Linked DNA regions of Tribolium castaneum. The protein of the gene in region 2 purifies or fractionates together with the protein of the main gene of each other region. This does not show direct contact. Links are inferred from orthologs where the notes say so. Each region holds a gene or a part of one and is shown on either strand. Other genes may lie near its edges.

What was found.
Region 1: the proteins of ND-ACP (region 2) and LYR motif-containing protein 2 purify together in Homo sapiens (affinity purification with mass spectrometry; 3 studies listed by BioGRID and IntAct, counting the BioPlex papers as one, with this or other methods). This does not show direct contact. The link is inferred for Tribolium castaneum from reciprocal best matches to the Homo sapiens genes NDUFAB1 and LYRM2.

Annotation. Positions count from the first base shown.
Region 1 is NC_087397.1:4,274,572-4,278,519, forward strand, and holds LYR motif-containing protein 2, read right to left. Parts: upstream 2,517-3,948; 5' UTR 2,381-2,516; coding exon 2,342-2,380; intron 2,297-2,341; coding exon 2,078-2,296; 3' UTR 2,024-2,077; coding exon of another isoform or gene 635-2,023; 3' UTR 629-634; downstream 1-628. Other genes in the region: prefoldin subunit 3, read right to left, coding at 1-201, 281-361; S2P (membrane-bound transcription factor site-2 protease), read left to right, coding at 516-590, 635-2,023; Sobp (sine oculis-binding protein homolog), read left to right, coding at 2,642-2,713. UniProt on the Homo sapiens protein: Involved in efficient integration of the N-module into mitochondrial respiratory chain complex I.
Region 2 is NC_087399.1:2,701,015-2,704,122, forward strand, and holds ND-ACP (mitochondrial acyl carrier protein 1), read left to right. Parts: upstream 1-1,653; 5' UTR 1,654-1,694; coding exon 1,695-1,850; intron 1,851-1,959; coding exon of another isoform or gene 1,960-2,067; intron 2,068-2,091; coding exon 2,092-2,208; intron 2,209-2,283; coding exon 2,284-2,463; 3' UTR 2,464-2,518; downstream 2,519-3,108. Other genes in the region: SWI/SNF-related matrix-associated actin-dependent regulator of chromatin subfamily A containing DEAD/H box 1 homolog, read right to left, coding at 1-224, 377-584, 632-843, 893-992; SPRY domain-containing SOCS box protein 3, read right to left, coding at 2,717-2,928, 2,973-3,108. UniProt on the Homo sapiens protein: Carrier of the growing fatty acid chain in fatty acid biosynthesis.

The DNA.
Region 1 (3,948 bases), on a different chromosome or scaffold from region 2:
TTCGTTTTTCTGTTCGCCTAGTTTCTCAATCATCGTTAACGAACGCTTCAGCTCGGGGACTTGGTTCTGGAGCCGTTTTTTCTTCGACAATAAATTATATTCCATAAACTTATACTTGGCATGTTGGTTATCTAATTTTTTCAACACTTCTTCCACGTTTTTGTTGTTTTCGGGCCGCGCCATGTACGCATCCACATCTTCCTGAGACAGGAAAAATCATAAGGTCGGGATTGAGGTTACGTTTTTTCGAAAAACATGTGGACGGGGTTTCGACACTTACGACAAATTCGGCTTCGGGGATTCCAGCGTAGGACTTTTTGTCTCCCAGTTCTGTGTTATTTTCCGATTCTGACTGTTCCATTCTAGTTTTTGCAAAATTTACCCACTCCACCGACTAAACAATTGAAAGTTTGGTGGTTTTTATTTTATCAATTCGTTGCGTTGGTAGCCACCACTCTATTATGTGGGGTTAGGAAATTTAATAATTTTTTGAAAAATGAGTTAAAAACTTAAAAATGGACTTGATTTTTGGCTTAATGACAATAGCGGCGATTTACTTATGGGTTCTCTTCATGGACAGGTTTTTTAAAGTAAGTCGGAACACGTTTAGTGCCCTTAAAAACCACAATTTTAGTCATGTTCTCATTACGGATACATCCAATTTCTTAAAGGAACGGGCCTGGAGATCAAATTGTTCCAGTTTTCGTGGACCACGACAGCCTTTAATAAATTGCTGCTTAAGTGGGGCAGTCACAACACGAAATTTCTTAATTTGTGGTTTAATTTGGGGCTATGTGTGAGTTTAGTTTTGCTGCCTGCTTCGATCTACCTATTGTTAGTGGCTTTCTTCCAAAACTTTTTGTCTTCGGCAAGTGGCGAGGAAAGCATAATTCAGCCGGTAGTCCCGGGAATAAACCTTCCAGCATCCGAAATGGGTTACTACAGTTTAACTTTGCTAATCAGTTCGGTTTTGCACGAGCTAGGCCATGCGTTAGGGGCTGTGCAAGAAGACGTAAATGTGATCAATGTGGGCGCCAACGTAATTTTTATTTTGCCAGTGGCTTACGTTAACTTAAATTCCGACAAATTATTTTCTCTAAATCCTTGGAAAAGACTCAAGATTTTGTGCGCCGGAGTTTGGCACAACTTGCTAATTGCACTCGTAGCTTACTTACTCTACACTTCTCTACCGTCCGTTTTTTCACCGTTTTTCAACTTTGGTAAAGGAGTTGTGGTAACGGAATTTGAGGCAAAATCGCCAATTTTCGGAAATAGGGGTTTAAATGTTGGCGATTTAATTTTGAAAATTAATGATTGTGAGGTGGACGATGAAAATGCGTGGTACAAATGTTTAGTGGCTTTACGCACAAAAAAGCCCGCGTTTTGTATTGAGGGCGACGTTGTGCGCGATCTGGATGAGAGCGTTCATTTGAAACACTCCGAAAGTGGGATTGTAAGCTGCTGCCATTCAGAGAATAAAGGCAAATTGTGTTTTGAGTACTTGGATAGTAAAGACAGCATTTTGGAGCTGCCCCCTTACGCCTGTTTGCCTGGAAGACCTGCGATCGAAGCCTCGACAAATTTCTGCATATCTGACCCCCATGTTTGCCCCAAAGATACTTATTGTTTCAGACCGATTTTAACGAATAACACGAATTTGTTTAAAATCAAGCGAGTCAACAAAAACGACGTTATCTACATTGGGCCCGTGTCTGATCTTGTGAGGACAGTGACGGTGTCCTCATACGTCCCAAAATATTCGTTTTTAGGGACGCGAATTCCCGATGTTACTACCAAATTTCTAGGGTATTTAGCTATGTTTTCAATGGGGCTGGCTCTAGTTAATATCTTGCCCTGTCTGTTTATGGACGGCCAGCACATAACGAACACTTTGTTCCACATAATATTCGCGAGTCATTTGAGGACCACTCATATCAAGATTATTTCAGGCGTTGTGACCGCTTCTTTCACACTCTTGTTAGTGATTCACTGCGTTATTGTCATATGGACTAGACTTAATTAAATTGTTGAATAAAACCGTTTTTTATCTAACAAGTGTATTCATTTCAATCACAACCTATTTTGCCAAAGAAATGGTATTTTCCAGTTCCTTTAAACACCTTTCCCCGTACTTGATGTACATTTTAATAGTTATCTCATCCGTGTGATGAGCGTTGCTCCTGAAATCACGTCTTGCCCATTCCTTCAGCTCCTGCTGGTGCCCCTGATCGGGCACTTGCCGTATAGCCCTGAAGATTTTCCTGTAAAGATTCTTAACTTCTTGTTTCAAGATAAACTAAAATATAGGAATTATTCAAGATTTGGATATGAAACCGATTACGTGTTTCAAGCTAAGGGCGGGTTTTGCAATTTTGGACATTACACAATTTTGGGGTTGGTTTTGGTGCGCTTGCGCATTTGGTAGACTTGCGCGTTTTGAATTTGAAAGTGTGGCGGGAATACCCCACTTCGAGTACCAAAATAATCACAACATTATTGAAAAGCTCAGCTTGTAGTTCTCATCGAAATTTTCCTAGTGGCGCAGTATTAATGTGAAAAGTGATTTTGTCCGTCATTTATTGAGTCAGTAGTGCGTTTTGAATTTTTGGTTTTGGCCTTTTTGCACATTTGGTTTTCATTTATGGAAAAAAGTGGCGCCGAAGAAATTGCGAAAGTTACGATTAAAAAGGAAGTGCTTAACGATGATATAAAGGTGGGTTCAATTTTGCGATGTTTAATTAACAAGTCTGGTTTATTTTAAAAGCATACAGATTTACAATGTCGATTTAAAAATAGATTTCGTCATTGTTGATGTGTTCGTTCGGGAAAGAGGGGGCCAGAATGTATCCGATATAATATCATAAATATACATTTTATTTATATTTTTTTCTTGAGCGTTTTGATTATTTTTCGTGTCGATTGTGTTAAAATTTAAATGCGTTGTAGGCTTGAGCACGGGCCTAACATGGATGTGTAACATGAACGCGATACCTGATATGGGGGTATCAAATGGCAGATGGCGTGCAACTGATACCCATCAGCCAGACATCGTAAATACACGTTATTTTATATCCTTGCATCTCGCTGGATATTCCGTTGATGCTCTACAAATCATACTTCTCAAAACATGTTTATTATTTTAATTTAAGCGGCTAACAGACAAGCAAATAACCTTTATTTAAACAATTACCCATCATTAGAGCTGGCCAAATAAACATTTTTCCTTTACAAGGATCCCAATCGCCGCTTCACCTCAAGTTACCCACACTGCTACCAGTTTAGCAATGCCATTATTACCGGAATCAATTTTTCAAAGTTCAAATTCAAATACAAAAAAAACTAAATTGTGTTTGGAACCTACTAACTAAAAATCTTTATTAATTATATTTTATGTTATTCATTCAGTTGTTGCAAAAAAATAGTGGAGCCTTCAGAGACAGACTATGGAACAATCATGAATTAATAAAAAAAAATTCGTATGTTCCCTAAACGTACATCAAGCTCCGAAGGTGGTCTGTTTGATATATTTAACAATTTTGCTTCTTTATATTTATTATAACAAATCTTATAAATTGGCTTACAAAAAACTAGGGCACATATAAACATATCTCTCTGTCAATCCATTCTTGAATCTTTTTTTTAATTTTTTTTTCTCAAATATTTTTCTAAAAACAAATCGTGGGAGTTGGAAAAATGTAATTTTTTTCTATCAATATTTTGTTTGTAATACGTATTTGTAAAAGCTTCTGTAATTATTTCCATACATAGCAAAACTGGGTTCATCTGGTATAATAGATCCAAATTGGTTTAAAGTGTCGAGAAAAGAGATAGAATCGAGTAGAGGAAAGATTAAGTTACAAGAGCATATTTAAGATCGATACTATCATCAGGTAGTAACATTTTCAAAATGATTTAAAAAAAAATACGAAGTAATTATCGTAGAAAAGG
Region 2 (3,108 bases):
TTCAATGATCGCCTCTGCCTTCTTTTTTGAACAGAAACTCATCAATTGGAGCTCGCTTTCAGTTGCCGTTTGCATGAATTCAAAAACTTTCCTCTTGTCCCCGGTTAATTCATCGCTAATTTCGACGTCCGAATCCTCGTCACTGTCAAACACGCGACGGTCTTTGAAGTCCTGATTGCTGCCAGTGCTGTCGTCCGTGTCGTCATCGGACTTCCGACGTTTAACTACAAAGAATTATTTTTTTTTACCAGAAATAGCTGCTTGAAAATTGCTTGACCGCCAAAAAAAGACACGATTATAAAAGCGAGATTTTGCAAAAACAAGTTTCTCAATTAACGTTTTTTTTTTCCGGGCTTTATCTTGTTAAGCTAGTTACATTTTTTCCGTTTGTTGTAGGGCGCGCTCTCAGGGGAGGGTTTCCTCTTGCCAGTGCTTTTCACCAGGCTTTCGGGATTGTTTGAAGTGTTCGCTTCCTTCCACTTGGCGTAACCTTGCGAATTGAATTCGACAGCGTGACACCTGGCCAACTCCGACGCCGCTTCGTCTACTTTAAACCCATGACGAGACAGCACATCGTGAATAACCTAGATTAAAAACGCCACTTAAGGAAACTAATTTCATGCTCCAGTACCATAGCATCAACATTCGGGAATGACGACATTAAATACTTCATCTGGTTCTCCTTCTCCAAAACGGCCGGATTCTTCATATTTTTCGAATTGGGGACAATGACAATATTTGGTTTTGGAGTCACCGCAGATTGAGAATTTGTTCCAGAACTATCACAGTCGGAATCAGAATCTGAAAATGCAATTATTCGGCGCCTCACAGCCCCATTGGATGCTGGAAACAATGTTTAACAGTTTATTAATTAAAATGAACTTGGTCTTACCGGAGCTAATTGCACCGTTGTTACTGTGGTGACTTAACGTCTTTTTTTGTATTCGGAAATCGCGCAAATTTAATAACGTGGGGCTGCCGTTCTCTGACATTGCGCCAGTTACAATTTTATAAATAACATAAAATATTAAGTATAAAACTACAAAATCGTTCTCATTGAGGCACCAGACACCTTTGACAGACGATGGTGGAAGAGTGGGATTATTGCCGCTCACAGGTGGCAGCAATGAGGCAAAAGCGCAAAATTCGCGCAAGTAATTTAAAACCAACTCTCATAAACTAATAAATAATAAATTTCCCGAAAATACAAAGTCCTCTACCCAACGTTAACTGCAATAACCACAAAAACGAAACTACGACTTACAACACTTACAAGTTAATGGTTTTAAGATCAACAAACACAAAAACGTAAAAGGTGACTTACCGTTAAATTATTTAACGCATTTATTGTAAATAAACACCAGTTGAAGTAAAATTGGTTTTTTTTGTGTAGCGTCTTAAAACAATGAAACGTAAAATTAATCCAAAGCACACTTTTCGTACTTCAATTCATTGTCATTGGGGGCCATAGAGGCTCATTTAGTGACTTGGGGCTAGTAAAATTCTTAATTCTATGCCATTTCTCTAGTAATGGGAACGCAATTTATTTTTTTGCGTTAACCTAAACATATAATTTAGTTTCGCGGCTTTCAAGATTGACAGTCGACCGGACGTCGTAGATGTCGCTGTGTGTTTCCGCCTCTCGACATTTGCTGACATTTAGGCCAAGTTTTTGAATAACAATATTTGCAAAAATGTCCGGTTTGATAAAAAGCGTGCGCGTTTTATCCCGAAATTCGAGTTATTTACGAGCTGTTGCGATTAGGCCACTGACTGTCATTGCCAATAAACACAAAAATTATGACCAGCCCCCGGTTACAAGCAGCTCAGTATTTGCACCCCTTAGCCAGGTACGTCCAGTTTGTCCGATTAGCGGTTGCATTTCCGTTCAATTAGGGTGATTTGGTGGAAAAAAGTGCGTTTTTTGTGATTACATAACTTCTAACCTCACTTTATTAGATGCGATTCTACTCGCCTGAAGTAATTCGGACGAAACCGACTGAAGAGGAGATAAAACAGAGAGTTTTGAAAGTTTGCGCGTCTTATGATAAAGTAACCGCCGACAAGGTACTACATAATTTTCTATTTCAGAGACTGGTTTTGCCACTTGAGCGATGTTACAGTTCCAAGCCACCGTTGACTTTAAAACTTATCACAGACCGCGTCCTCTTGGTATTAAAACTGTACGATAAAGTCAATCCAGACAAGGTACGGTAATTTTGCACTTTGTGGCACAGTCTCTGGAATGATCCTGACGGACGTGTTACGATTGACTCGTTTCAGCTCACGCTAGACTCACACTTTATTAATGATCTGGGGCTTGATTCCTTGGACCATGTGGAGGTGATCATGGCCATGGAGGACGAATTCGGGTTCGAAATTCCAGACGGAGACGCCGAAAAACTGCTAAAACCCGCTGATATCGTGAGGTATGTTGCGGACAGGGAAGACATTTACGAATAGGTTTGTAGTAAAACAGTAGATAAGGCTTAATGTTGTGTTTGTTTTGGCACTGATTTGCCAGAATTGCACCATAATGTAATTTGATTTGTTAATAAAGCGTAAATTTTAACTGAGTGTTTTCATTGTATTACATACGCTATTTTTCTACCAACTGTCAAACGATCATTACATTCCCATTGGTCGTGAATTGTCACGTGCTCGTCATAATGCACTCGGATTGGTCAATGAAAGACTCAATATGAATAAATCTTTATTAAACCTCCTTTGAAGTTGATGCATCTCCGGAACCATCATAATTCATATCACAGCTACTTTCTGAGTCACTATAGTTGGTGAAATGTAACGAGATCTTGAGCGTTTGTTGTTCAGAGTCGAGACAGCGCGGCCACTTGATCGGTATCAGCATTTTTCGTCGCTTGGACGACCATATGTTTTCTTTAGCCTTTCGTTTAGGGTCCTCATATTCTAAAGAAACAATAAAGCTTGGTTTTTATTAACAGTTAAGTCACCTTTCGGAAGCATCCAGAAAAAATTGTGTTCGTAGATTTTAGCTAATCCAGGGATGCTCTTGAACTGTTTGTACAATTCTGGATGTTTGATAATACACTGAAGGCAAGTGAGTTGTAAAGATGATTCAATTGAAAT